3 linked regions of the Neurospora crassa OR74A genome follow. The protein of the gene in region 3 binds, or shares a complex with, the protein of the main gene of each other region. Links are inferred from orthologs where the notes say so. Each region holds a gene or a part of one and is shown on either strand. Other genes may lie near its edges.

Evidence for each region.
Region 1: the proteins of pep (region 3) and NCU03559 are in contact, whole or in part, in a cryo-EM structure (PDB 8Q1B), measured with the Schizosaccharomyces pombe proteins. The link is inferred for Neurospora crassa OR74A from reciprocal best matches to the Schizosaccharomyces pombe genes qcr1 and qcr2. Residues at the interface, in NP_595827.1 of Schizosaccharomyces pombe: Ala15, Thr16, Thr17, Ala18, Leu19, Pro20, His38, Gln42, Thr43, Glu69, His70, Phe73, Lys74, Lys82, Glu85, Leu86, Phe88, Glu89, Asn90, Thr91, Gly92, Ala93, His94, Leu95, Asn96, Ala97, His109, Ala110, Phe111, Glu146; in NP_587698.1 of Schizosaccharomyces pombe: Glu37, Thr38, Pro39, Thr40, Thr42, Lys71, Ala78, Leu79, Thr82, Arg83, Glu86, Leu87, Gly89, Gln91, Arg106, Phe107, Leu108, Glu110, Glu136, Thr140, Ile143, Pro206, Asp207, Ala275, Val276, Lys277, Trp278, Ser279, Gly281, Asn282.
Region 2: the proteins of pep (region 3) and qcr8 are in contact, whole or in part, in a cryo-EM structure (PDB 8Q1B), measured with the Schizosaccharomyces pombe proteins. The link is inferred for Neurospora crassa OR74A from reciprocal best matches to the Schizosaccharomyces pombe genes qcr1 and qcr8. Residues at the interface, in NP_595827.1 of Schizosaccharomyces pombe: Gln168, Arg246, Phe247, Val248, Gly249, Ser250, Glu251, Ile252, Arg253, Ala254, Arg255, Asp256, Asp257, Asp258, Gly341, Asp430, Glu440, Gly441, Leu443, Tyr445, Asn446, Arg449; in NP_594714.1 of Schizosaccharomyces pombe: Trp13, Trp14, Gly15, His16, Leu17, Pro20, Lys21, Gln22, Lys23, Gly24, Ile25, Ile26, Thr27, Tyr28, Ser29, Leu30, Ser31, Pro32, Phe33, Gln34.

Annotation. Positions count from the first base shown.
Region 1 is NC_026502.1:225,658-235,753, reverse strand, and holds NCU03559 (ubiquinol-cytochrome c reductase complex core protein 2), read right to left. Parts: upstream 4,893-10,096; 5' UTR 4,221-4,892; coding exon 3,960-4,220; intron 3,871-3,959; coding exon 3,696-3,870; intron 3,614-3,695; coding exon 2,781-3,613; intron 2,718-2,780; coding exon 2,622-2,717; 3' UTR 2,143-2,621; downstream 1-2,142. Other genes in the region: NCU03558 (hypothetical protein), read right to left, coding at 526-612, 803-920, 1,625-1,656; NCU03560 (DNA-directed RNA polymerase III subunit rpc-3), read left to right, coding at 5,517-5,525, 5,584-5,646, 5,710-6,432, 6,494-7,573; NCU03561 (mitochondrial carrier protein), read left to right, coding at 8,602-8,665, 8,762-8,799, 9,118-9,159, 9,253-10,023. UniProt on the Schizosaccharomyces pombe protein: Component of the ubiquinol-cytochrome c oxidoreductase, a multisubunit transmembrane complex that is part of the mitochondrial electron transport chain which drives oxidative phosphorylation.
Region 2 is NC_026505.1:5,785,606-5,794,864, reverse strand, and holds qcr8 (ubiquinol-cytochrome-c reductase chain VIII), read right to left. Parts: upstream 5,364-9,259; 5' UTR 5,264-5,363; coding exon 5,202-5,263; intron 5,066-5,201; coding exon 5,040-5,065; intron 4,790-5,039; coding exon 4,612-4,789; intron 4,490-4,611; coding exon 4,432-4,489; 3' UTR 4,125-4,431; downstream 1-4,124. Other genes in the region: NCU08948 (NIF domain-containing protein, variant), read right to left, coding at 1-1,364; NCU08946 (hypothetical protein), read left to right, coding at 5,949-6,272, 6,350-6,856; NCU08945 (RNA exonuclease 3), read left to right, coding at 8,376-9,259.
Region 3 is NC_026501.1:2,690,971-2,701,142, reverse strand, and holds pep (ubiquinol-cytochrome-c reductase subunit beta), read left to right. Parts: upstream 1-4,477; 5' UTR 4,478-4,577; coding exon 4,578-4,727; intron 4,728-4,867; coding exon 4,868-4,993; intron 4,994-5,122; coding exon 5,123-5,200; intron 5,201-5,255; coding exon 5,256-5,941; intron 5,942-6,040; coding exon 6,041-6,431; 3' UTR 6,432-6,784; downstream 6,785-10,172. Other genes in the region: NCU02550 (alpha-galactosidase), read right to left, coding at 433-647, 704-2,107, 2,162-2,372, 2,431-2,638, 2,711-3,297; NCU02548 (hypothetical protein), read left to right, coding at 7,541-7,865, 7,929-8,638; NCU02547 (hypothetical protein), read right to left, coding at 9,258-9,787, 9,899-10,172. UniProt on the Schizosaccharomyces pombe protein: Catalytic subunit of the essential mitochondrial processing protease (MPP), which cleaves the mitochondrial sequence off newly imported precursors proteins. Preferentially, cleaves after an arginine at position P2.

The sequences.
Region 1 (10,096 bases), on a different chromosome or scaffold from region 3:
CTAAGAAATGACAAACAATTCTTTATTGATCACATTTTCTATTTTTAAGAACCCAATCTTTCAACTCAACTGGCTTCGTCGAATAAGCGCCTACCGTATTTTGCATATCATGCAATGAAGCCCAAAGAGGCAATGAGACGCTGTACTTCAGGGAAAGGAATCCCTTGTGCAACATCTACGACTCTCGGACCTGTTACCTCTGTCAATGAGCGGCACACCCATTCTAACACTTTTTCAAGTTCATTTATATGTCACTCAGATTCACTTCCAACCAGTCACACCCAGTTCACAAAGTAAATGCCAATAAACCGTCTATTGAGTTTCTCTTCCTCGCTCCCCCAATATGTTTGATGATACAGGTCATACGTCTTCGGGCTTAGTGACACTCGGCAGGAGGTGAGGATTTGAGTGCCATGCGGGAGCGATTCGCGATATGACCCTATTTCTCTCATCTCCCGGTCCACCACTACACCACCATTCCTAGCACATCGTCACGGTGTGTTGGTTGTGTGTGTGTCGATCCGCTTAAGAAGAGGGAACGGAGGTGGCGTTCTCGGCGGCGGCGGCAGCGTTGGCGGAGCTGAGGTTGACGGTCTCGCCAGGCTTGCCGTTCTGTAGTTTGGAAAGAGAGGGGGTGTGATTAGCTTCTCTTTCGTGTTGTTTACGTCCAGTGCCGGTGTCCATCCATCTTCATGATTTTTTTTCTCTCCGTCTCCTCACTCGTGACATTCCCCCCTCCTCTTTCTTCTTCTCTTGTCTGATTGTTCCCCGATAGCCAAAAGACAAAAAGATTATTACGTACCGACCACTTAGCGAACTTGACCTCGGCAGCCTCGCCACGACGCTCAGCAATGATTCTCTTATCCTCCTTGAGGGAGCGACGGAGCGCACGAGAGGCGACCGCGAGGTAGCGGTTGTAGCTGTAATTTTCGTGAACCGTGTTAGCCTTCGTTGTCTTGTAGTACTGTTTTCTCTCGTCCGGTCCCCTCTGCTATGTTCCCCCCTCTTGCCCTGCTCCTGATCCTCGTGTGTTGCTCATTCCGTGCGCTATCTGGTGATTGTAGTGCGTATGTCTGTCGTAGCTCTGGATGAATGCTGGCCTGCTTTGTTGCTTCGAAGTCGTCGTTACGCATCGCTTGCTCGCTTTCCGGTGTTTTTGTCGCATTCGGGCCCGTCTCTCCATGTCATGGACATTCGGCGCTTTTCTCGACCAAGTGTGTCGTGTATTATCTCTCTCCTTGATCTCCCTCAATGTTTCCCTGGGTCCTGCTGTCGTCCATGACCTGGGGTTATCTCCGTCCTCTTTCTCTCCCAGTCTTTCTCATTCCACCTGTTGTAGGTCGCCCGTAGATTGTCGTCCATCGATCGTATTTCAAGTCGCGGGGCAATTACAACCCCAGATTTCGGCGCATGTAATCGTTGTAATCTCTGTTGTCGAGCTCGTTCGTGGGTAGGCAGGCTCGTTGGTCCCATCATCCTCCTCCATCCTTCTCTCTCTCTCTCTCTCTCTCTCTCTGTCGCGGCAATTCTGGTCTTCTTCCTCCCACACTTCCGATAAACTGCCCTATTTGCCCTGCCTCTCCCCGTCCCCAAGCCAATAAAAACGAAAAGACAAGATACTCACGTAATGCCAGCGGCCTTCCAAGCGAACACCATGTTGGGCGAAGATTGTGGGGTGGGTGGGTGGGTGTTGTCTTGACGGTGAAACGAAGAAAGACTTGTTGCTGTCTGCTGCTTGCTGCTTGCTGCGGTACTTGCTTGCGCGCGATTCGGTTCACTCTCGACTCGACAAAACTGGTCCCCACCCTGGCACACCCATCCACCCAATCCACATCCAACACCAGGGAACCCGAGAAGCTCCGCTGCCCGAAGCTCCGTCGTGTGTCACGTGATGCCCCTCCTTTTTTTTTGTCTTCAGTTGTGACCCCAACTCCCCCAACTGAGACGCCGCCCCAAGCTTCCTTCCATGCCATGCAGTGACGGAACAGGAGCTACGGGCGCCCGCCGCCGCCGCCGCCAGGGCAAGCTCGGCAGCTTACCTAACAAGGTCAAAAGTAAACATCGACCCCTGATACCTATTTTGAATGGACCTGTGTGATTGATGTTTGACATTGAATGTGCTATCGCATTTGTAAACTTTCAAATGAGCTCAAGCATTCTCGTCTCTTCCAAACTACTTATCTTCGCCGTAAAACTCACTAGCATATCTCATCTCATTCCTTAAGCTTGACATTTCACCCTCGTTTGTAACAGGTATCCAATGTCAACAAAAGAAATAATGCCTGCTGCATTTTGTGTTTTATAGCTCTGCTAGAGAAGTAGTGGCGAGGAATGATAAAAAGTCTAGAGGTTTGTATATGCACAAAAAGTCGTCGGTCCCCAGCCGTTCGTTCTTCATCTCCCGCTTCACAACGAGAAAGGTCTACAACACACTTCATCCCGGCCGGTTTTGCTGTTGGTACACGGTTTTGGTTTTTGTCTCCCAACCCTGGCGTCTTCTCAAAAAAGTATCCACGCCTTTCCAGTTTCAATCGGTTCGTTTCGCTGCGTTTAGGTATTTCCTCTTTCAATTAACTACGAATTGCACAACCCGCTCTGCGCCCCCAAAGTCTAGTCTACGTCTATACCTTGAGACCGAGATCCTCAGCATAGGGAAGGACGTGGAGGTCACCGACGGCGGAAACGGAAGCCTTGCCCTCAAGGAGCTTCTTGGCAGCCTGTTGAACGTTTGTTAGCATATCTTTTTTTTCTTTTCCAACTTCTTGTAGGTTCACACATACAGCCTGGAGCTTCTCAGCGGTAACGCCCTCAAGAGCCTTGAGGGTCTCGGCAACCTGGATGGGCTTGCCACCGGCAAGAAGGTTGGCACCGGCGTGGACGAGGCCAGTGCCGGAAACCTCGCTGGCGGAGAGGAGGTTGAACTTGGCCTTGGCGATAGCCTTGGTGAGGTCCTCCTTGGAGACACCACCGGCAGCGATGGCCTTGAGACCCTTGACGGCCTCGACGGCGACCTTGCCGACGGCGGCACCCTTGCCGGTGATCTGGATGGCGAGGAGACCAGCATCGGAGTAGGCGTAGTTGTGAGCAAAGGCCTCGGCGCCGGGGTTGGCGGCGGTGGCCTTGGCGAGGAGGCTGAAACCGGGGGACCACTTGATGTTGGAGACACCGCCGAGGAGACCGACGAGGACGGAAGTCTCGGGGTGGGGGACGCCAAGGGAAGCACCGGGGAAGGCAATGACGATGGCGTTCTTGCCGTTCTTGGCAACGCGCTGCTCACCACCAAAGTACTTGGAGGCGGCAGTGTTCAGGTTGCCGGAGCTGGTGGCGGGAACACCCTTGAAGAAGGGCTCAACCCACTTCTCGAGACCGGCCTGGCTGGCACCATCGGCGACAACGGCGATGTTGGCCTTGTTGTAGGCGAGGTTGGCGAAGGCGGCGACCGAGTTCTCGTTGAGGTAGGACGAGGTAGGGGTGTCGACGGTAGGGTAGAGGGGAGAACCGAGGCCGCTGTGGAAGGCGACGTTGTGGGCGGCATCGAGGGCGATGGCGGCAGAGTCGAGCTTGGCCTGCTTCTCGTGGATGCAGTTCTCGACGAGCTCGTGGAACTCGTGGGCTATGGGGCGGCAAGGCAACAACAACAACTGTCAACAACAGCCATCTTTTGGTTTCGTGGGAGGGAAGGTATTATCACGCACTGGTGTACTTGGTCTCAGAGATGACCTCGGCAAGGAGCTCGGTGAAGTAGGGGAGGTCCTCGCGGAGGAAGGAGGCCTGGAGGACGACGGCCTCGCGCGTGTGGTAGGCCTGCAATTGGCCGCCGAGGAGCTCGGACTCGCGGGTGATGCGGAGGGCGGTTCTCTTGTTGGTGTTCTGTGTACCTCGCCAAGGTGTGCCAATTATTAGCTCATGGGCGTCTTCTCTCTCTCTCATGGTCCGGATGCGGTGGACCGGGGACCTGCCTTGAACGCAAACTCCTCCAGACCGACGGTCAGACCGGGAAGGGGCTCGTAACGGGTACCGGCCTTTGCGACGACGGCGAGGCGGGTGGTCGGGCCGGAGTCGTCGCGCGAGGCAACCTTGACGCCGGCGATGGTGGTGGGTTCGTATGACGCCGCGGGAGAAGCAGCAGCAGCAGCAAAGCCGCGCTGGGCCGTCTTCGCAGCGGCCGGGCGGCGAAGGGCCAGCTGGCTTCCCCTCGAGAGAGCCGATCGGGAGATCATGGTTGGAGGGGTCGATGTCGTCCAATTGACGGTTCTAGATGATTGCGCAGCGAGCACTGCTTGGGAGGACTGAGCTTCACGTAGTCTCTCTCAGTATACTTAGTGTAGCAATTCCGACTCCGAAAATTCCCTGGCACCAGCGCCCCAGTTGCCGGGCTGCACGTGCACCGGCAGCTGCCCAGTCCGGGCACAGACCACTGCCCAGCTGCAGACCACTGCCAGGCCCGCCCGGCGCTGAGGCTCCCAAGGCGTGAACACCCGGCCACGCACGAGTCGGGAGCCGCACGACGGGCTGGCACAGGCCATCACCCAGCGGTCTCAGTGGTCAGCAGTGAAACACAGCTCATCATTGGGCGCGAAGCAGCAGCAAGGGAATCAAATGCCCCGCGATCCGCTGAAGACAACGACGACGGAAGCCAAGAAGATGTGGATATAAGTACATTACCTACACTACCTACCTGTAGATACCTATAAGCCCATCACAGGCCGGATGAACGACCCCTTCCAAGGATGGAAGCTTCTTTTATCAGATGGAAGTTTCCGGATTCGGGTTCGGTGAGGACAAGGTGACAAGGCTGTTTCATCTTTAAAAGCATCATGATCTGGGTCAGTTTGCCGGGCGGATGGATTTCTTCATGTCGTTCACTTGCACGACTCGACTCAACGGGACCTGGGATTGCCGTCGGGGCAACTCTGGAAAAGTGGGTTGGGCTTAGGTACTTGTACTGACAAAGGCAAAGGTGGAGGTACGTACCTCTAGCTCCTGCACATAAGGTACACTACACTACAACGTACGTACGGGTGGACGGGACCCCAGGGGCTAGGTACCTAGCGCGGTCTGGCGCGCCCATAGCGATTGACGCGCGGACCTGGAGAGTCCCTGCCGCCGCCGCGCATGCGACTCGGAAAAAAAAATAATTTGGAGCATTTTGTCATTCGGTTTTCCCCGCCGTCTGTCGAACACTATTCACCACCAAACTGTTGCAGGCGCATTGCATTTACTTTGCGCATCTCTCACAGAATACTAGAACAGCCAGCACCAGGTAGTCCCCCACCACGCATGCAAAACTGACTCTCTGAGTGTCAAATGTCAATTTAATATATAATTTCACGACTCCACCGCCCTCTTCTTTTCTTCCCCCACCAAACCCTGGAGATCTCCCATGCCATCATATCGGTAGTAACCGCAGAAGCTCTAGAGATAGTGAGAGGATCTCTAGGAGCCACATCTTCTTCAAATCCTAGGTTGCTATAGCACCGACACCAACGGCAACAAACATCATCTGATAGCCCACCATGGCAGTTGTACGTACTCGTCCTTCATTCCTCTTCGTTGCTCTCTTCTGACCAATGACCACCACAGATCAAAGAAAAGGCAGAGTGCTGCACTCTTCTTGTCGACGAGCTCTACGGCCAACTCCCCGCAGTAGGTTTCACCACCACCAATGCCGATCCGGAGTACGCACATCGATACTGACACCTCCCCCAGAGAGTCTATGCGACTCTTTTCCAACGAGGAAAGCTCTCGGTCCGCCTCATCAGCCAGTTCTCCAAACTCAGCGCCCGCCAAGTCAAAAATGGTCTTTGCGTCCTCCAACAACACAACCTCCTCTTCTACTCCGTCGACGCCAATTCGGGCGAGGCCGAATACTCGGTAAATCACGAATATGCCTACAACCTCGTGCGCACCGGCAAGATCCTCGAAATGGTGGACAACAGCTACGGCCCCGCCGGCCGCGACGTCATGCAGAATCTCCTGCTCCTCGGACAGACCCGAATCTCCGACTTGGTGGCCGCCTACCAGGCCAAGATCAACGAGGTCAACAACGATGACGCATGGCTGAACGACAAGAAACCCGAGCTCGCGATCAAGAGCAAAGCGCAACTCAACTCGGTGCTTTGCCGACTCATTGAGGCCGAGTTGATCGATGTCATTCACAGCAAGACCTTCCAGAGCGCCCACGAAATTGAGAAGCAAGTCCACAGAGAGGTCATGGACGTGTACTTTTCCAACGGCATCAAGGGCACCAAGGCCAAGATTGAGTTTGAACAGAGAGTGGCTGAGGGCCTTCGCAAGGTGCGCGAGGAGTCCAAGACTCTTAAGCGCAAGCTGGCTCAGAATGGAGGCGCAAGCAAGCGAAGGAAGCTGGCTGTTGGAAACGAGACAAATGGGGCTCCTGAAGAAGAGGAGGACTTGGATCCGGCGTTGGACGTAGGTTATTTCCCATGGGACAAGGGTCCACTCGGTGTTACTAACTTGCCATTTCCTCCAGCCCCGACAAGTCATCCGCATCAACTACGAAAAGTGCATAGTGGAACTACGCAGCCGCCGCCTTGTCCAATATGTCAACGAGACCCTCGGAGAGACGACAGGATACGTTTACGGTCAACTGCTCAAGCAATTGACCAAAAACATTTCGCGCTGCAAATCAGACCCGCTCATAGACGCGTTGACGCCGGAAGAGAAGGTGACGCCCTCGGTCACAACAAACGAGATTCTTGATAAGGTCAAGACCTCGATTGATCTCACACTCGGAATCGGCAAGATCCCGAGCAAGTCCATTTCGAAATCGGCTGCGGAGAGACTCACTCCTTTAGCGCCCAAGGACAAGATTCCCTTTATGAATCAAGACGATAGCGACGATGACGAAGAGGATGGTGATTACAGCGACAGCGACGAAGAGATGGACACCAAGAAGGAAAATGGGGACGCGCCGGTCGCTAGGATGAGCCGACCTGAGCAGCTGCGGCAACATCTCCTGCTGTTGGCCGAGGGCCACCCAGGCTTTGTGCGTCACTGTGGAGAGGATGAGTGGACGGTCGACTTTAAGCCTCTAATGGAGAATCTCCGGGCGACAGAACTCGACTCGATCATCGAGCAGACCAGCGGTCGCCAGGGCCTCAGGTTGATACGCATCCTCCGCACGAAGGGCAAGCTAGGGGAGCAAGCGCTCCAGTCTCTCAGCTTGATGCGCAAGGTGGACCTTCAACAAAAGATGCTGGAGATGCGTCTTGTGGGCTTTGCGCATACGCAAGAAGTGCCGCGCGACAACAAGGCCGACCCGAAAAAGTCCATCTTCCTCTGGTACTGTGACACGGAGCAAGCGTACAGCAGCCTGATTGCCAAATGCTACGCAACCATGGTGCACTGCCTGCAGGTGCTGGAGGTGCGGCGGCAAAAGGACAAGGACGTGTTGTCGCTGGCGAAGCGGACCAACGTCAAGGGCAAGGAGAAGGATATGATGCGTGACGAGTCGTACGCGAGGTTTGCCAAGTTCTTGAAGGACGAGAGGTTGCTGATGGCGGAGATGATGCGGATTGATGATACCTTGGCTCTTTTACAGGACTATTAACTCTTTGAAGACGAGAATGTCATGATCTGAGCGTTTTCAGCATATGGACAACAAAAACATGGTCATCATTATGAGTTCAGTCATCTAGAATACACTAAGAATGACATGTGCGATCACGGTGTTCCCCTTTGCTGGTGCCAAACACTCGGGTGACGCTTGTTTGTTAGCTGAAGACTTTGGATCAATCTTCCAATGCGTTTTATGTCTGACCAATGCGTGATCTGGTTCGAATAGGATATTTCGGATAAGTACTTGAAATGTTGGGATATATACAGTATTTTAGTTAGTGTAGTGTAAGCTTCATAAGTAACAAACAAACCAGCATCGGACTGTCGGTGGTTCAGATAAGGCTGGCGCTAGTGTTCGATAAGCCCCGGATTGGCTGAACCAATACTAGCGTGCCTTGGCTTGGCAAGGGTTGCACTCGTAAATCCCGCTGTCGGAGCTCGTTAGCGCGAGAAATTTCGCAGCTTGCGGTGCTGCGCTTGGGGGACGCCGCGGACGAGGAGAAAAAAAAAAAAAAAAGTTTCAAAAAAATTCGGTCGTTGAGTTCCGACGACTCGAGACCCCGTCAACCAAAGGCATCATCATCCTAGTGACCTACTGGACCTGGGCTACCTGAGTGACTCCAACCGTTCCCCCACTCAGTCCAGTCCAGTCCAGTCCAGTCCCCGTCCCCGTTCCTCGTCCGAGGTGGTACCTTGCTCGCCGTACTGTGTCGTGTGTTTTCTTATCTTCCGGTCCCCGTCCCGTCCCGTCTTCCCTCCCTTTCTCTCTCTCTCTCTCTGTGACTGTGGTCTGCTTGTGATTCATTTCCGTCCCGCCGTCGTGATTCCCTTTCTCTTCCCAATTTCCCTCGTCTCCTCGAGTCCGATCTTCTGCAATCCTTTTTCGCCAGTTTCCCTCCCCGCACACACGCACTGCTGCAGCTTTAATTCCCTTATAACCCCTCACACAGCGGTTATACATCCCGTCTTTTTTTTTTTTAATCTTTAAAACACCAAACCACAACAAACAACCAAAACAAAATGTCTCCCGTTGCTGCTGGTCGTTCGGAGAAGGAGTCCAACCTGGCTAGGTTGCTGGGATCCGGTATGTCTTTCTACTGTCTGCAATGACGGATGACGTCTGTTCTGTCAACGCTGTTTGGGGAAAACATGTTGCTGATTCCTTGGGTGTGTGATGTAGGCTCTGCTGGTATCGCCGAGTTGGCCATCTTCCATCCTGTATGTTTTCACGGGTACCACTATAACACTGGTCACTTTCGTTGTCACCGGTCCCTCTCGAAGTCTCTTGTCCAGAGAAGTCCGGGCGAGAAGGAAGGAAGCTCTCGAAGCTCTCGAAGCTCCATGCCATGCTACCGAGACAGGCCAATGGCTGACCTAGCAGCTTTGGTTTACCGCATTGGTGATCTGGATTGGTAGCTGGCTGGAGCTGTCCTCCTCTACAGGATGAACAGGACGAAAAGCAAAGAGAGGGACAACACACGTAACAAGAAAGTGCGAATATCACGAGCACCCTACTGACCTTGCTGGTTACAATAGGTCGATACCATCGCTAAGCGTCTGATGTCCAACGAGACCAAGGTTCGTAGCTTTCCTTCCACCTCCAATCAATTGCTTAAAGCAACACCTTGATGACTACTTTCAAAACCCTCCCACTGACTCACGTCTGCCCAGATCTCCAACACCGCCGAGCTTAACAAGGTCATCTTCAAGAACAAGGCCGAGGCCCCCTTCGGTCGCAAGTTCGTCTCCCTCTTCCCCGGTCTCGGCTACGCCGCCGGCTACAAGGTTCTCCAGCGCATCTACAAGTACGGCGGCCAGCCCGTTGCCCGCGACTTCCTCGGCACCCACTACGGCAAGGACTTTGAGAACGCCTTTGGCAAGAAGACGGGCAAGGCCATCATGCACTCGACGGCCGGCTCGCTCATTGGCATTGGCGAGATCGTTTTGCTTCCCCTCGACGTCCTCAAGATCAAGCGCCAGACCAACCCCGAGGCCTTCAAGGGCCGTGGCGTCTTCAAGATCATCAAGGACGAAGGCTTCGGCAACTTGTACCGCGGCTGGGGCTGGACGGCCGCCCGCAACGCGCCCGGCTCGTTCGCGCTGTTTGGCGGTTCCGCCTTCGCCAAGGAGTTCCTCTTTGGTCTGAACGACTACAACAAGGCGACGTGGTTCCAGAACTTTGTCGCTTCCATTGCTGGTGCCTCTGCCTCGCTCGTCGTCTCGGCTCCCCTCGACGTCATCAAGACCCGTATCCAGAACCGCAACTTCGATAACCCCGAGTCGGGCTTCCGCATCTTGACCAACATGGCCAAGAACGAGGGCGCCGGTGCTTTCTTCAAGGGTCTGGTGCCCAAGCTCTTGATGACGGGCCCCAAGCTTGTTTTCTCTTTCTGGCTGGCTCAGACTTTGATTCCTGCCTTTGATATTGCTTTCCGCAAGTAAAGCGGGGGAGTTCAGTGTCGATGAGGAACGAGCAAAAAAGAAAGAACAACAAAAATCGGCGTTTGTTTTTGGA
Region 2 (9,259 bases), on a different chromosome or scaffold from region 3:
TTGATAAACGCCCCATGTCTAAACGTGCAATGCTGCCGGTAATACCTGGCCGAGAAGTACTTGCGGTCGCTCTCCAGCCAGTCGATCACGGGGTCCGCATACTCCTGCACCGACGCCGTGAACACCACCAGGTTGTACCACTTGCTAACGCGTCGCAGGAACTCGTCGCAATGGGGGCGCTTGTGCACGTAGTAGAGGATGGGATGCTGCGGCCCGATGGTCTGTTGCCCGCCCACGCCCACATAAGTCGTGTTCAGTCGCACTTCAACCATGTGGCCCGAGGACATGCGGCCGCCTTTGGACATGGAGTGAATTAGGGTCTCGTCGAGGTCGAGGATGAGCGTCTTTTGGTGCTTGAGGTTGGCTGGGTCGACGGCGCTGATCTTGTACGAGGGCTGGCGCTTGGGGATCAGAGGCCTTGGGGGCGCCGGCGTCTTGGGGTACTTGGTCAGGGCACCGACGGGCGACGTGGGTGACTTGAGCTGGGCCGAGATGTCGTTGCCGGGGACGCTAAGGTTTTGCTGGCCGGACCCGCCGTTGCCGTCGCTATTAGTGGTAGATCGGCCGGAGGCGGAGGAGCGGTCCTTTCGCTGTTTGCGCTGTCGTAGGGAGTCGGCGTCCGAGTGAAGCTTGATTCTTATGGAGCGTCGTGCCGGTGCGATTTCTTCAGAGTCTTGGGATGATTTCGATTTAAGACGTCGTCCGCTGCTGCTACTACCTGTCCGGCTTTCCACCTCCGACTCGGACTCGGACGAGAGTCCTGACGATGAGGAGCCGCTAGAACGGAGGCGAGACTTTCGTGACTTGCGAATGCTTCCTCCAATACCGGCCCCGTCCAGGTTGGCGTCAGAGAGGGCAGCTGCCTCGTGGTAATCCACAGCCATTTCCTTCGCGTTTCCTCCATATCGACCAAAGAGTTTCCGTAATTGTTTGGTAGGCGCAAAGTTGCCCTCGGCATCGTAGAACAAAGCGACCAAGTAGAGGCCAGGCGCAGCGATCGTCATGAGCAGCCAGCGTATAGACTCGACAATGGCAAACGCGAAGCGCTTCGGGAGGGACGCCCATGTGGTCGGCGACTTGGGCTGATCTTGGGCTAGCAGAGGAGTCTTCTCGTCGGGATCGTAGTGCTGTCCATCGTATCCCCCTTGTGCAGCCGACTCCTTGTCCTCGGGCTCTTCTGACAGTGTGTTGTTTTTGTTGGCTAGACCCAACAGCTCATCGTTGCTGCGCGGCCCATGGTGATCGTCCTCCTCTTTGCTGCTAAGATGGTGGGCTAGACTGAGTGCGCTTATAGAGTTCGATCGAGACGGGGTCGGGCTGGACGTTGGTGATACTCGGGCCGAGATGATGTTTAGGGAGTTCATCTTGCCAGCGCGGGGAAAGCCATGAAGGACGCCAATGCGAGCCGCGCCCAGTGGCAGTTGCAAACTGTGTGACGGCGACAGCGGGGACGGTGGGTTTATTCGAGCAAAGATCGATCGATGATGTATGGTAGTCAATTCCGTGCGGCCCCCTACTGTAGAACAAAAACCGTCGGACGTGGGATTGGGATTGGGCTTGGGGTGGCCTGCAGGGTACGGGAGGGGCGTTCGTTGCCCGGCCGAGGTTTGGTGTTGCGCAGCGACCGAAAGCTGTTCGGTTGCTCTGTGACGGGGAATTATTGCGGATGGCGAGGATGGTTGGACTGAAAGCCGCAAAAGAGAGCGGGCGCAGGAGAAACGAACGGTTACGTGGATATGGCTTGTTTCCCGTTAGGTTAGGTTTGTATGATTTGTTGGCCGAGATCCGGTTGGGGAACTTTTTGGGGAAGATCGAGAAGCAGCGAGCTACATACATACACTGGGGCCGGAGGAGTCTGGAGACGGGCAGCGATCCAATGTTGGGGTCAGAGCCTGGAGGTCTGGAGACTGGAGACTGGAGGTACTGTTTGGAGACTCGGGGGGTCGCGCGAAGAAGGGGCCAATGTCGTCAACCGCACGCAGTGTAATAACCTTTTCTGTAGTTCCAGAAACAATCGCTCGGTTACATACTCTTTCTTTTCTTTCTGAAGTTGTTTCCAAAAAGAGTTGCAAGTTCCATTCAGGTTGTACAAACTTGATGTTGCCTGTCGAACTTCGAACAGCGCAAGTGGTGAGATGGGACGTCCGAGGCCCGCCCAGATCTGCTTTGTCTGGACTTGGTTGGCTATCAAAAAATACGAACATGACACCCTTTTTGGGTAATCGATAGGGATCCGAGTAAAAAAAAAAAAAAGAGAGAAAAAGAAAAGGAAGGGTGGTGACCGCCCAGTTCCAAAGATCGACCTCACAGGCAAGATACAAACAAAGTCAACAACCCCGGTTTATTATAACTTCACGAAGCCCAGCACGTGCAATTAAGCACTGATAACTCCCGGCCATATCATGTATATGCGCCGCCTTTATTATCGGGGTTTCAGTTGGTGATGCCGTCGTGGTTGTGAAGAGCTCCCGTCCTGGATGTTTTTCTCTCTCTTCTCCAATTATCGAGGAGTGGCGCCCAGCTATCACAGACAACGACTTTACATACACCAGTCCAGTCCAGTCGCCAACACAACGGGACGCTAGCCGAACAGCACGGGGAAGGTAACGACTAACGAGACAACAACGGCGGCGGCTCAGTGGCTGTTCACCAGAAATAATGGGCTTCAAGACAAAAAAAAAAAAAAAAGGGCATCTCGACGGGGTTTTCCAGGGGTGCTCAACAAATGCCAGGCATTTCATCCACTGAATCCATTCACGTGTTCCTCCCGACTGACTTGACAACGAGCGGACGAGCGAGCGGGAAACCCGATCGACCTGCCTAGGCCCCCTCTCCGTCGTCGGCCATCTCGATGAATGGATGGATGGGCCATGGCGGGGTGGGGGTTCCACATCCACAATTCACAGCGCGAGCTGCTGCTGTCAGTCAACAACAACAACACTGCAGGCGACAAACTGACCTAACCACTCAACATCAGCGCCGACACAACATGGGACCTCCTTGGTTGGATCTCTTTTTGTTTGGAGGGGGATTAGCGACGCCAATTGATTAAATGTGAACCAATTTTGTTCTGGGTGTTTGTATCCTCATTATCATTCAGTCTCTCGACAATATATATGTTATATAGCTTGGAATGGTCTGTGCAAAATTAATAACACGGAACACAATTTCACATGTTCGTCTTTTCCATCTCTTCAACACATAACCCATGCTCCATGTAATCAACCCCGTCATAAAAATACTTCTATGATCTCTTTGCAAAAGCGAACAAATGGCGAGACCCTGACAGCCCAATGCAACTCAAGCGAAAGGAAAAAAAGACTATCATTAAATCATAGAATATACCAACCGAGGTTGTAGGAAAAAAAAAAGAAAAAGGGGGGGGGGGAGGGGGGGGGGGGGGGGGTTCGTTTTGCGCTTTTGGGCCACCCGTTCCTGCATTTGTTTGGTTTCTTTTCATTCATTACCCCTGAATGTTGCGTTGGTTGGGCTGATGGATGTATGGCCGGATTTCTTCACCGATCTGCTCTTTCTTCCACGAGCGTTTCTGGAAAATGCACTGCAGCTAATGACATGACTAGGCACCATACCAATAGTAGTTGAGAACTAACATGTACTTATGCCTACTTTGGAATGTTGCCCTGGAAATGCGGTCTGGAAGTTGGGGCTTAGTGCAGTGCCATTGTTTAGTTTTGAATTTGAATATAAAATGGCTTCGAACATACCTACCTCCCGTCATTGTTTACCTTGGATAGGTATCGGCATCTACGATGATGAGTTTGAAGGTGAAGTATTCACAGTCCTATTCATGGAGGTGAGAATGCTGAGCAGGGCTGGTTAGCTTGTCCCGGGAGAGGAACGGTATATGAACTAGGACGTTCGGCTTCACAGGCGTGGTGATACGTCATAAGGCCGGGCGCCGCTACAGTTTTCAGCCTTCCAGCGTCTGACATGCTTCCAGAGGCGAGAAAGAAAATCAAACTCCATGAAAGGAACCGGCTCGCTACCTCATGGTTCTCCTCGCAAGATCTAGTGCAGCCAACGAGCACCAAGCGCCGAAAAGACTGGCCTGCGGACCGGCAAGATGCACAATGATTGTACCCAAAGACAAGAGAACTGGAGCTAACCAAGGGAATGTCCGGATGATGCGTGGATAGATTAGGATCGTGACAAGGCTGGAAATCACATGCGATCTGTCGAGCCGAATGTAAACAAGAAACGACTTGGTGGTGGTGTTTCAGGTGTCGTATGAGATCCAAAACCAGCACATGCCGATACCCATAAGAGAGGTCCATGTCTTGTCTATGCCAACTCCAATTCGAACCGCGTGGGAATAAAGATGGTGATATACAGGTTAGTCTATTGAGTACTAGTTCTCTCTCTCGGGAACTGCACTCTGGTTCCGTGCCCAAGTATCGTAAAGTCCATCGCTTACTCCTCCTGGCCAGCGAACTCAGCACGACCGGCCTTCGAGTTGAGGTAGTGGTTCCTAACCAGCAGAATGCCCTGTTAGAATGTGGCACTCTCTTGAACGACGACAACAACGGTCCCTCCTTTGCCACCCCGTGATCGAAATCCCTCGGGGCTGTGGGTGGTGGTGATGCAACGTACCGCTCGATAGCCCAGTTCATGATGTAGTAGCCGGCAACAAGGGAGGGGGCCCAGTAGAGGAACTGGGAGCTGACACGTCTGAAGGTGTTGAAAACGGCGTCGTGGGCAGTGCCGGCGAGGGGGTTCTGGCGGTTAGGGCTGATACCGTAGGAGATGATGCCCCTCTGCTTCATGCCACCTGTTCGTCGGGAAGAAAAACAACATGGGTTAGATGGTCTTGTTCTGTCTCGGGGGTCGTCTCATCGGTTCGTCAAGGGTTCGGCGTGCGGGCGAGTGGGCGGGCGGTCATCAAGGTTCTTCGTCTTCTGGCTCGACCATCTGTCGTGCCCTCATATTCGCATTCCCTCCCATCCCGGTATTTCCCGTTGTTGAAGAATTGCCGTATGTTTGGTATCGGTGCATCGTCAATTGCAAAGGTTCCTACTCACCAAAGTTACCCCAGCCACCAAGGTAGCTATATCAACATGCACGTTAGCTAACATCCAGAGCTGGATCGGAGGGGGAGCCGGCGCAAAGGGAAAAGGGCGCATCGCCGGTAGCTTGTGCCATGAAGTTCCGGGCTCTTCCAAATCACAAGTGGGAAGACTGACTGGTTGTGCTTGCCGATGGGGGCACCGCCGCCGCCACCGAGCATGGTCTGAGTAGGACGCATCTTGAAATATGTGTTGTCGCGAAACGCGCTATGGGGGGTATCAATCGGGTCGTGGTGAGGACGCAGTCGTCGTAAAGGTTCGGGAAGAGCTTCGCGCGGCGTTGAACCGGGTTTGACGAAGTTCGAACTGAAATCGGTCGACAGTGAGTGGCTGGCACTTCATTTGCCAAGTGCCATGGAGCCGTCACTGGCAGTCCCGTCAGAAACCCGAGTGCTGGAGGCTCAAAAGGGATTAGCATGGAAAGGTACAAGCTACAAGTACCTTTACAGCATCATTCTCTTTCAGCCTCCTTCCGACCTGCCCGTCTGTTGAACAAAACAAGGTGCACGGACCATTAGGATAGGTATTGAATCACCATACGCAAGCACTGAAAGACATCCCCGGGCCATGCGGGGAGCTTGAGAGAGCTGGGCCTGGTCCGGGCGACGGGACATGGCACTCCACTTTTTGCAGAAGCTCCATCCATCGCAACGACTGCTGCTTACTGCTGCAACTGGGGAAGCACCACCACCACCACCACGATCCACGCCACGGTCCACGCCGTAGTGTTTGTAGTGTGATAATCCCACAGCCCACCTTGAGGTATCCCCGGAAACGACGTCCACGAATACTCTCGAGTCAGATCCCTCACCACCACATCAACCGAGTTCGATCCCTTAATCTTGATTCAAACCGATATTCACAATGGCGGCAAGAGGGTTGGACATGATCACCAAGTTCGCCATCCCGGCAACTGTTGGTGTGGCTCTTCTCCAGAACTCCATCTACGACGTCAGAGGTGGTTCGCGGGCGGTTATTTTCGACAGAGTTGCCGGTGTGAAGGACACGGTCGTCAACGAGGGCACACACTTCCTCATCCCATGGCTGCAGAAGGCCATCATCTTCGATGTTCGCACCAAGCCTCGCATCATCCCTACCACCACCGGCTCCAAGGATTTGCAGATGGTCAGCTTGACGCTCAGAGTGCTGCACCGTCCTGAGGTGCAGGCTCTGCCCAAGATTTACCAGGTGCGTTTACAAGAACTTGCCCCTTATGACGGCTACGACGGATCACAACGAACTTGAACTGACTGGAATCCCCACAGAACCTCGGCCCAGACTACGACGAGCGTGTCCTCCCCTCCATCGGCAACGAAGTACTCAAGTCCATCGTCGCCCAGTTCGACGCCGCCGAGCTCATCACGCAGCGTGAGGCCGTCTCGCAGCGCATCCGCGCCGACCTCGTCAAGCGCGCCGCCGAGTTCAACATTGCGCTCGAGGATGTTTCCATCACCCACATGACCTTTGGCAAGGAGTTCACCAAGGCCGTCGAGCAGAAGCAGATTGCGCAGCAGGATGCCGAGCGTGCGCGCTTCATCGTCGAGCGTGCCGAGCAGGAGCGCCAGGCCAACGTCATCCGCGCCGAGGGTGAAGCGGAGAGTGCAGAGACCATCAGCAAGTCTATTGCCAAGGCTGGCGATGGTTTGATCCAGATCAGAAAGATTGAGGCGTCGAGGGAGATTGCCCAGGTGTTGGCTGCCAACCCCAACGTGGCGTACCTGCCCGGAGGTGGCAAGGGGACAAATCTGTTGATGAACGTTGGCAGGGCGTAAACGGGAGCAATCAGTAAGGGAAAGAGACGAAGATGGTTCTGCAGAAAGGGGACCATGATACCTAGGCTACGGAGGTAAAGGGAGGTAATGACCAAAATGGGACTGTATTATTATGATATGAGCATTGTGTATCTTCCCCGCTTAGGCACTTGTTACAATAGGAGCATGTTTTTTGAACTTGACTTGTCTTTTGTCACTCGAGATGACATCCGATTTGATATTTTGACGGACGTGGGAATGGTGAAGGAATGGCCACTCTTTTCCTGAGGCTCCCAGTTCGGGCAGAGAAAAGTCACAACCATCCGATATAGGATTCCTGAGACGTGATATGCCTTACTAGGTGTATATTATGAAAGGTGAAAACGTTAGACACCCCAGACAGACCTCACACTCAACGCCAGGGACGCATGGATCTCGTAACGCTTAGCGGCGGTTCGGTGGACCAATGACCGAACGCAGGGGCCTCAGCTACCCGCCTCACTCACGGGCATGTTTCCCGTTTCTTGGCTCAACCTCGAATTGTCATCAACTTCATCTCAACAACACACTGAAAACACTCACAAGACATCAAAAACGAGGAGTTGAGAGGCCGGGCATCTCTAGACTATCGCTTGGCCTGTACTTGTCAGATATACTTTGTAGTATACGGTGCTCACCGCTGGCGTATGTGTTGCCCTCTGCTGGCTTTTGCATTTCATCCCTGCCTCTGCTGCCCATCTCAACTGCTGCAACCTAACTGAACCGGGCAATCTTTCAAAGACTCGGTTCATGCTGTCATCCCAAAGGTCCAACAGTTTAAACTTTGACGTTGGTCACACTCAAGGTTGACTTAACGAGAAGAGCTGGAATATAGACCCACAACCTTTACCTGCTTCTTTACGTGATTGCGCCAAAGTCCACAAGCTAACGTTCTGTAGCCTCTTCGGATCCCACGATTATCTCGGCGCTCCCTCTTTTATATCTTTAACACATTCTGCGTCAAAGTTCATTGCTTCAAAGACAAGTCGAAATCAATACCACGCTGCGTGTTACGACTATCAGGTGGATATTCGGTCTGACAACGCTGAGACTATAAAGTGAAGCAGCGAGTGAGTGCTGCGGACCCAGCCTTCCTTGTTTGCCCGATTCGTCAGCAAGTCGGTTTCACCATTTGATATCTTCGATTCACAACCTGGAAGCTCCCACCCCTTCTTGACAACGACATACAACATACCTTACCATATATCGATATCATTCAGCATCTCACCGGGGCCGACTGACAAGAGTCTCCCACCCAAGTCGGCTTCTCCCAAGTGGACATCTACTTCATCAACTTCCAGAGTTGCCTACCATAGCACGTCTTCCAGGCTTCACGCGCGAGGTCGCTAATAGACTTTCAAGATCCCGTCATCTTGTGGTTCTATTGCCCTCAAGACCGCCCTTTCGCTCCATTAGCAACACGTCTATCCAGCGCCGGGACGACTCGCAGGAAGCAAACCCGTTGGCAAACCGTGACCCCTGGCCAACCCGCGCTCAAACAATGGACACCGTTTTACAGAACTTGGGGTCAATCCCATGCCCGCATGGCGACAGATGCACTGAGTCCGGATGTCTCTTTCAACACAGCTGGAACAAGAAGCCGGCCGCTCCAGCGTCAGCCAAACACGATGGTCCGGACGCAGATGACAATCCGCGAAAGCGTCGCAAGTTGTCGACAGAGCCTACCCAGAGTACACCGCCGACAACGGCAGAGTCTTCGCAGCCCAACCCGGAGCCTGTGACGGCCAAGAAACCTGTGTCGCCCCCGCCACTGGGCCGAAAGCCAACAGTTTTGTCTGTTCAGTCAAGTCCGTCTGAGGCTCCCGCTACCCCAGCAACTAAACCGGCAGCCGTCTCATCACCCGCCAATCCAACACCCGAGAAAAGCGCCGAGAAGAAGGTGCCCATTCGGAAGGCACAAGCTTCTCGGAAGGTCGAGACACTCAACCCTCGCATGCTCAAGGGCGTGGCACCTGCTACGTTTGAGTTCCGGTTCAAAGCATTGACGATGCTGCACGAACAATTCGTCCGACTGAACAAAGAGATGGAAAAGGCGGCCGGCAAAGATGCGGAGAGCAAGAAGTTGATTTTTACTCCGCAAGAACTAATATGGCTTTCTCTGGACTTGGAGGAGAAGATTGCGATGGACAAGCCGTCCATCTACAATAATGTCATCAAAAATCGCATCATGGGCTACAAGAAGATGACGCCCAAACAATGGAAGGCAGAGCGTCTTGCAGAGATTAAGAAGGAAGAGGAACGCAAAGCCGCTGCGACTCAAGCAAGCTCCAAGAAGCAGGCCGTTCTCGGTCCTCCCAAGGAGATCAACACAGGTTTGACGCCGCAAGAAGAGATCGCCTTCCTACCCCATGTTCTCACGTCCAT
Region 3 (10,172 bases):
GTAACTATAGTCTCAGCAAGAGAGAGTTCTCTTTGGTGGTCCGAATTTCGGACTTTCTGCAATCGTTGAGCATCAGAGGTTGAAGAACTGCAGGTCATAAATAATCACATTTTGCCTACTACCATGAGACACATTCTTTTGATGGTACCGTGAGTGGGTGGCGGAAGATCATGAGGCATAGAAAACAGAATGCGCCAGGAACCAGAAGCACAGCCTCTTCTATGGTCAGCATCACCGAGTCCAAGCAAGGATTTCGGCGCGAAAGTGAGGCATCGGCTATAACAAGAATACATTAGGGCGGATAGGTCTGTTCCTCAAGGTCCCAAAAGTCGAATATTTCATTTTTCGGAAGTTGTGTGTACAGCGCACAATGACGTGCTTCACCACACCCTGAGCCTGATCTGTCGTCTGGTCGCCGACCGCTCGGAGCATTCACTTCTCCAAGGTCAAGTAGACTTTGACCTCCACTTCATTTGACCAGCCAGCCTCGAGGCCCATCTCTTTCCATGCAGATTCTATGTCAATGTCGAGGACATGGCTATCCATCCTGTTGACAGTGACCGTATGAGGCGGGATGGGCTGGCCCTGAATTGTGACCATAAATTCGTCTTGGATGGATAACTCCGGAAGGTGGGATATGTAGATGCCTAAACACGGTAAATCGTCAGTCACGCTTTCATCAAGTCGTTCCGAAATTTCTCACCTAGTACACCCAAGGCCTTCAGCCTGGTGCTTATGAACAACCGCCCGTTCTCGAGCAGATCGGAGCTGTGGTTCAACATAGCAGCGCATCCGGTCATCTTTCCCACCAGCCCCAGGCTAGCCACGTATACACGACCTCTGCTCTCGGTTTCGTGGAGTGACAAGGGAAAGACGGAAAGAATGTCGTAGCCGCCATTGTCGAGAGATGCCGTCAACAGAGAGGCAGAGGAGGTCGTCTGAACTGGCACGGTCACCTTTCCACTCTGATGAGAGCGTACCACGTACCACATCGATGGCAGGACGCCCGAAAATCGGGCAAGAGGGATTAGTTCTGTGAGCGGACGGCCGGATACGTTGAAGATGCCCATGATCGGAGTGCCCGTGACCGCCCTGCCGTTGTAAGCGCTTATTTTGAGCAGAGACAGATCATCGTAGTTGACATATTGGTCAAGGCTACGACCAAGCACGCTGGGACGGAAAATGACTGTCCTGCCTCTTGGCGTCACACCGGTCATCTGCTTGATCAAATCGAGGTCGTACTGGCCGGGAACATCTGTAATGTAAATGGGACCGCCGCTCACACAACGTGCGGCGGCGTGAAAGCCGGCATATGCGCCAGTAGTTTGGAACATGTCCCAGTCTGGGAGGATGTTCAGATGTTGGGTAAGTAAGCTGTTGTGAGCATTTGCCCAGACATGCCAGGGGTGAGAAGATGGGACGTCGGGGAAGAAGTCATCCGAGTTCCTGCAAAGCATCGTGGGCCGTCCGCGGGGAAGTTGTGTATGAAAGATGATCTGAGGAGACATGGACATGCAAGATATGGCTCTCCCGCTAAAGTACCGAAGAGATGCGAGCAGCCAGTTGTCTAGGTACGGTTGGATGAGTTCGCGTCGGACCTTTGGCGATACCCAAGTGTCGACCATGAACTGCGCATCGGTCTTGACTCCTGCCACACCACTCTCGGAGAGAAAACGATAGAAATCATCGTAGAACTTGTGGATATCCTCCTTCGCGATGACTGTCATCTTACCGCCAAGGGGAATGTTCTTACGTGAGCTATCTTCGCCTCGCACAACCTCGATTGTCCTGTAGCGTTTGGCAAGATTACCATCGGGTGCTATGCCTGCCCAATACCCTAGAAGGGCATGCCACACAGCAACGTGCTCGATATTCTTGTGCTTGGATCGTATTTCGGAGACCAGTCCTGTGAGACCATTTGGAAAGGCTTTAGGTTCAGCCTCGAAATCATTCCAACCTTGCTGCCATTGATCTCCATGGTAATCAATATCTTGCCAATTGTCATCGATGATCAGGTTGCTGATGTTGATGTTGTTATCGGCCAGAGCATCTACTGCCCTTATAACCTTTTCCGCCGTCAACCTTTGGCCAAGGGCATTCCACGTACCTACGTACTCATGTTAGACTGCATCATGGGCATATTGACTACTGTCACACTCACAATAGCCCAATCCATCATACCAGTTCTCGTACCAGTTAGCCTCGACATTGTCACTAAGCTTCTCCAGCTTCGTAGAAGACTCTCCAGCTCTGTCAGCCGTGCTGACGAGGCCGCGAGCGTGGTACATAACAGCAGCATTGGCACTCTCAAAGTTGTCGCCAACCGCTACTAAAACAGTACCGCTACCGGCTTTCGCGCTATCGTTTCGAATCTGGCCATCAAGGTTAGTTGATGATGGTTGTATACTTGTCTTGTGATTATAGGCCTACATGGATGGTCACCCGTCCAAACTCGTCGTTGCGAAACAGCGTCATGCCATCGACGGCATTGTTGATACCGGCGAAACCCAAAAGGACCAAGTGTTTGCCCTTGCTGGAGAGAAACGAACAAAGTAGTGCGTCTTTATCTAGTTCAACAGTCGATCTTCCCTGTCTTGGAGCGAGCCAAGGAGACCAGTCTCTGACCAAAGCGAACCACCTGTTGCCGCTCTGATCAGCACCTGGACAAGATTGTGAACACCGGCTATCGCAGGAGGCCCGAAATCCTTACCTCAGAAACCCTCCCCAAGGAATGCCGAGCGGAACATGGCTGAAAGTCGAGTTATCGTCGTCTTTAGCCCCGTCCACGGGAACCTCAATGGTCCAGAGTCGAGTCCCGGGACATTGGCTTAGATGAGAACTCCATTTAAGAGATGGGTTCAAGCCGTGGATCAGATCTGGCAAGTCCTCATCATCGCTGCCTTCTGGCGCTCCAACATCCACCACAATGTAGCCATCACCTAGACCCTGTTCGTTGCGGACCCATCTCCAATCATGGTCAGGCCCCTGGCGGAACTTGATGGTGAAGTTCAACATTGACTGCACGGTTAAATTGACAGTAAAGTGCAGGCGCATTAGCTGATCCGCAGGGTCGTGCAGGGTCGACGGGAAGTCACTCTGCCCACTTGGGGCGAAGGGAGTTTCGACCCAGCTTGCCTTGCGACCATTGTAGCTACCAGTGGAATGCCAGAGCGCGAGCTGCCACGAGCCAGGAGCAAGGGTTTTGGGGACCTCTAACACAGCGTGAAAAGTCACACTGGTATCCTTTAATTGGGTGATCTGCTCCAGAGGCGGGTAGGTTACGACGAAAGGGGACATTTCCAGGACGAGATCTGTTGGTGAATGAGCGATATGCTCGATGTCGGTCGTGGCAGCGGGATCGAGAGGATATCAAGAGTGGCATACACTATGACGAAGCCGGAGGACTGAGAGATGTAACACAATAATTGTATTGAAGGTAGGGGGCAATTCATGCAGGGTGGTTATGATGTCAAACAATGATATGTCTGTCAAGAGGTGTGTTGTTCCTGTTCAGCCTCCCTGGATGAATAAGACTCAGGAAGGGAAGAAGCCAGGTGACATTGCCAGCACAGAGTAAGAATAGGTAGGTGTAGCAGGCGTGGGCTCGTTGTGAGAAGTCGGATTGAATAGACCATAGGAGTCAGCTAGGGCTAGTTGCAGCTATCCGATCGATGCCACTAACTCCCAAGGACACGTGTAGTGCCGTAGGCTACTACGTACGGTACGAACCTCGGGAGGAATATTCCCAACTGTAAGTGATATATACGAGAGGTGGATGAGGAAGCTCTTCCTCGGAATCGCTGAAAGATCGGGATGTTTGCGGACTATTCCAATCTAGGGAGTAGCAGTACATAGCTTGAGTCGAGCATGAATCATCTCCTTGGTAGTGATACGAGCAGTTACAGTGAGCTCGATTGTAGACGACCGATATGAGATGCGAAGAGGGGATCGATTTTGTAGACCTGATGAGTACTGTATGTAGTGCCACCAGATGGTCGATCTCTGAACGGAAAAACGAAGGAATTGGTAGATAGACAGCCCTACCGGACACAGTCGAGGTATCTCTGTGCCTAGTTGATGAAATGCAACCTCAAACTCCCCTCAAATAGACTTGGCAATGACATGGGAGGTCGATGTGACGGGAAGAAATGGGCCGGACAGGTGAGCTGCCTCTCGCCTGTGGTGAGCTACGGGAGCTGGGGGCATGGAGCACGGAGCTGTTTGCTGGCTGAAACCCTTGATGAATGTTTCGCTTGTTGTGGGAGAGGGGAAGCTTCCTGACGCCCAGCTCCGTCGCTGACCCCTAACCCTCGTTCCGACTGGGGCTAGCACAGGCTTTTGTGTTCCCCACTGGCTAAAGATCGGTCCTGGCCAATCGAATGGCTGAATTTCCAAGCCAAGTACCCGGCTTCGCGCAAGTGCACGGACCCGTTCTTGTTGCCGGGCCTTCCCGAGCTGGCCTTGGAAGTGAGGCAAAATTAACGACTTTTTTGATGTGAGCAGCTAGTAGAGGTCCTCACTGTAGCATCCTTTCCTTCAAACCGCTCATTCCACCCCCCTTCAAATCACCGACCTCCATGGCTTCCCGGAGACTAGCTCTCAACCTGGCGCAGGGCGTGAAGGCCCGCGCTGGGGGTGTTATCAACCCTTTCCGCAGAGGTCTTGCTACTCCTCACAGCGGCACCGGCATCAAGACCCAGACCACCACCCTCAAGAATGGCTTGACCGTGAGGACGCCCGCCCTCCCCTCCCCCGGCTTCCGAGCCCGCCCCCGAGCCCGCCTCCGGCCCGACTGTCTCCCTCCCCGACTGCTGCTCCGGACCCCAAGCCACCTCCAGACTTGTCCTAACGTCAATTGCTATCACAGGTTGCTTCCCAGTACTCTCCCTACGCCCAGACCTCCACGGTTGGCATGTGGATCGATGCCGGTTCCAGGGCCGAGACCGACGAGACCAATGGCACCGCCCACTTCCTCGAGCACCTTGCCTTCAAGGTACGCCCCCGAATTCACGAGTCACGAGTCCTCTCCCCGGGCTGTGGTTAGCTTTGATATGGCGCGTTGGGTTGTTGGATCGGTAGATTGTATGAGAGGGCATCTGGTTAATTCGACGACGACACGCAGGGAACGACGAAGCGCACTCAGCAACAGTTGGAGCTCGAGATTGAGAACATGGGCGCTCACCTCAACGCCTACACCTCGGTTCGTCTGATCTTGTCGTCCGGCGCATCCGCCGCCCGCTAACCCGCGAGCACAGCGCGAGAACACTGTCTACTTTGCCAAGGCTCTCAACGAGGACGTCCCCAAGTGCGTCGACATTCTCCAGGACATTCTTCAGAACTCCAAGCTTGAGGAGTCCGCCATCGAGCGCGAGCGCGACGTTATTCTTCGCGAGTCGGAGGAGGTTGAGAAGCAGCTCGAGGAGGTCGTCTTCGACCACCTCCACGCTACCGCCTACCAGCACCAGCCCCTCGGCCGCACCATCCTCGGTCCCCGTGAGAACATCCGTGACATCACCCGTACCGAGCTCGTGAACTACATCAAGAACAACTACACCGCCGACCGCATGGTTCTCGTTGGCGCCGGTGGCGTCCCCCACGAGCAGCTCGTCGAGATGGCCGACAAGTACTTCTCCAAGCTCCCTGCTACCGCCCCTGTTAGCAGCGCTTCCATCCTCTCCAAGAAGAAGCCCGACTTCATCGGCTCTGATATCCGTATCCGCGACGATACCATCCCCACCGCCAACATTGCTATTGCCGTTGAGGGTGTCAGCTGGTCCGACGACGACTACTTCACTGGCCTCGTTACTCAGGCCATCGTTGGCAACTACGACAAGGCTCTTGGCAATGCTCCCCACCAGGGCAGCAAGCTCAGCGGCTTTGTTCACAAGCACGACCTCGCTACCAGCTTCATGAGCTTCTCTACCAGCTATAGCGACACTGGGTAAGAACGCCCCTGTTTGGTTTCGCACCTTTTTTTTATTCATCTCTTATCATCATTTTTCTCTTTCTGACGTACAACTACTGACATGGCAAACTATAGTCTCTGGGGTATCTACCTTGTCACTGACAAGCTCGACCGCGTTGACGACCTTGTCCACTTCTCCCTCCGCGAGTGGACCCGTCTCTGCTCCAACGTCAGCGAGGCTGAGGTTGAGCGCGCGAAGGCTCAGCTCAAGGCCTCCATCCTCCTCTCCCTTGACGGCACCACCGCCGTTGCTGAGGATATTGGTCGCCAGATCGTCACCACCGGCCGCCGCATGAGCCCCGCCGAGATTGAGCGCATCATTGATGCCGTCTCCGCCAAGGACGTTATGGATTTCGCCAACAAGAAGATTTGGGATCAGGACATTGCTATCAGCGCGGTCGGCAGCATCGAGGGCCTGTTCGACTATGCCCGTATCAGGGGTGATATGAGCAGGAACGCTTTTTAAGCGATAGGGAGCAAGAAGGGGGCCGGGTTCTGTATTATAATCGGTGTTACATTCCAGCCCAAAATCTGTACTCTAGGGTCGTAGGCTAGACATAGAGCAATCAATTTCCATGCGTACAAGTTTCACGGTACAGGTTCGGTCGGTTGTCAGGGTCATCCAATGGTTACTATGGTATGTTGCAGGGCGGGAAAAGCGAGGGAGGTAGAGGCCGTGATTGCCACCTCGACTACGGATTTCTGGCATGGTTTGCGAATCTTTGACGACATTGTGCTTCACGTGCTTACTCCAGGCGAGAGGATAAGCAGGACAAGAACATGATTAAACGATGAGAGACTTGCCACGATGCTGGAGTTGGACGAGACCGCATCCAGGGCTTTTCGCAACACGTTCATCTACAGCCGAAATCTGTGATGGTGGTATCCAAAGGGTTACCATGAGCCGATTTCTGAATCGCAGTCTGGAACACACAGCAAGGTGTCGGTTGTGTTGACAAGAAAGTATACAGACTATGAAAAAGGCACCTTGTAACATGAAGATTACACATGCTGTAATGCCTGCTTTGCTTGGAATCTCTACGCGGGCTGGGCTTCGGCAGGTGGCACAGACCAACCGGAGCCGGGAGCTGGGGTCACGGTACCTCTACGGACCTGAGATGAGACAGTTGTGACAGGGCAGTGGATGTCGGGGTACGTACTCTGCTTCGCTACATACCTGTAGGTAGTCAATGCCCGGCCTTATCGTGTTGGTGGCGATCGATTTTAGCGCAGGTGGGTGCAGTGCGCACGGGGCAACAAAGCCTTTCAGCCAAACGGCAGTCGAACTTTTGGCACTTTAACGTGACGTCCAGTGCAAACTCGGGCCGGTGACCATCCTAAGCACCGCCCTTGTTCTGTCGCGCCTTGTCTTGATCTGACCTCCCCGTCTGACCCTTTCCTATTTGCAGATCCCTCCCCCGAACACATTCCCCCCCGGTTGTTCGGTTGCTGCACCCTCTCTTCGACCCGCGGTCTGCGAAGCGAACTTGCGCCGGTCGGAGGCGGCATATATCCATCAGCTGCGATTCAGTACTCTTACACCTCAACATCGAATCCTCCGTCTCTATCGCGGTCATGATTCCCCAATCCGTTCGACGGGTTGTGGCTGCCGCGCCGCAGTCGCCCGTTGTCTCCTCTCTGGCAGCCTCGTCCGCCCCTCGCGCCGGCGCCTCCTATATACTCTCGTCCTATCAGCCCAATGCCCTGCAAAAGCGACGATACTCTTCCTCCAAGCCGTCCAGCCCCGATGACGGTTCCTCCCGGGCCTTCGCTGCCCGCGCCTCTGTGCCCGCCGCCGGCACCTCCAAGACTCCTGGAGAGAAGCGCAAGCGCAAGGCGAAGGAGCCGGTCATGCCGCCACTCCCCAGCGTGCCCAGCACCAGGCATATCAAGGACGAGGGTTTGTTTATCCGCGCCTTTTGTTGCACAGGCTTAGAGTCAAGTCGCTAACAAGACGTTTTAGCGCTCGCCCTTTCAACGTTCTTCGCCCTCCACAGGCCGATTTCAGTCACTCAACTTCTTCCCAAGACCGTGACCGAGGAGTCATTCGCCGAGATCTTCAACCACCGCAAGGGACACAAGGCGACCGATGTCCTTTCGACCTTGTCGCAGGCCGTACACGATCTTGAGTCGCCCATGTCTGGGCTTAGGCTCTCCGATAACGATGTCGAAGACGGCTCTACCAAGATCAGCCTGAAGCACCCCGACGGCACCGAGTCCGATGTCTACTTTCAGCTAAACTCCATGTCCGGCCACTTCCTTCCCTTCAACCCTCCTCCGCCGCCGGAGCCCATCGCTGAGGTTGACGAGGCCGCTGCGGAGGCCGAAGCCTCTGCTGCTATCGCCGAGGAGATTGCCGCCACCGCCGAGCAGGAGCCGGAAACGCGCGTGTACAAGGCGGTTGTCACGATTGAGGAGACAAGGGATACCAACGGCCAGTACAAGATCATGGCGCACAGCCCACAACTCGTCGAGGACGATGCTGTGCAGCCGCGCAGCTTCCTGGAGCGCCTCGCCCTGCGCCAGATTCGCTATGAGGAAGCTCGCCAGCAGCAGGGGATCATGCATGCTATCAGCGTGCGCAGGCAAAAGAAGCTGAAGATCAAGAAGAAGAAGTACAAGAAGCTCATGCGCAGGACAAGAAACGAGCGTCGCAAGCAGGATAGACTCTAAACCACGCAAGGGTTAATCCGGGCGGTAGATGCTTATTTTCTTTTTCTATACCTCACCTGCAATGTACAATATCTGCTCCATATACACACGCTCACGCTGACTAACCACCAGGTGCCTCGTTATCCAGTGATCAGTGTGCACTGTTTGAAAGCTTCATGACTACACTTGCTTAGAATCTTAACGGGGATGTTTTGTTGGTTGGCTTCAGTTTCTTCGGTGCCAGCATATTTGCACTTTAAAGAAGATAAAAGAGGCAAGCTCTGTTGGTTAAGTTGTAGGTATCAGTCGTAAGTAGTAGAAGAGGTCAATATCCTGTCAAAATACGCTTTATAGACTCCGTGTAACAGCTTTGATATATGTGTTGCGTCCACTGATTGATTGAGCGCAGGGCTTTTTATCACCCAGTCAGTTGCTCTTCAGGCACCATACGTTCTCGCTTGTCATAGGTCACCTCTCAAACGACGTATTCTGAATTCTTGTTGGGTAGGAAAGACTTTCATGCATCCGTCCATTAGTTCTAAGATGCCAAATGCCCCGGTGTAACCCATTCTGTATTCCTGATCATTGACTCATAACTCAGCTTACCATCATCCCCTTTCCCTCACAGAATTCCAGCCCCTCAAGCAACACTCTTCCTCAGATACTCCAACCACTGCTCCAGGGTCCAGCTAGAACTAACCTCCCCTGCGACCACCCCATCGAAAATAACCGTCGGACTCACATGCACGCCCACCAATCTCGCCATCTTGATCACTGTCTTCAAATCATTCGTCACCGCATTACCCACATTTAAACTTCCATCATCTCCCTTCTCTGTCGGGATAGCCAACAGCTCATACAACTCCTTCTCATCAACCCCCGCGCTTTGGGAAGCTAACTTCGCCAACCGCTTATACGTCTCATTCCGCGTCTCATTCACCAGTGAAACGTCGAAATAAGCCTTCTGGTCTTTGAACAGGGCCGCGCTGAAGTCCCAGAATTTGGTGGGGGCTAGACGTTGTACAGCGAGCCCGGCTTCGTGGGTTAGGGTGGAGGAAGGGTGCCAGGGTTGGATTTGGTGGCGAAAGATGAATTGGACTTTTGAGCCGAGGTCGGCGTGCTCGGAGCGGAGAGAGGGGAGGAGGGTGGTGTAAAGGGTGTTGTAGATTTCTGTCGTTTAGGGTGGTGAATCGTGTTATTCATGTGATTGCTTTTTTGGAAAAGCATGTATGGATGGATGGATGGATGGATGGATGGTTTGGGTTGAGGAATGTGACTTACTAGCTGAGAAGGGACAAACGTAATCGAGAAAGATCTCGACGGTATGGAGTGGCTGAGTAGGAAAAGAGCTAGCACCAGCTCCCTCGGTGGGGATGAAACGGTGGCCAGCGAACTTTGGAGGAAGAGCCATCGTGGAACTGGTAAAGGTGAAGCTTGGGTTGTGGGATAGCGTAAAGGGTGGAGGAATCAATAAATCACTACAAGTGGTCAAATGGGAGTCTGAACAATGATGGTGTTGAAGTTGTGTGGAAGTTCTGAGAAGTGGACGACTTGT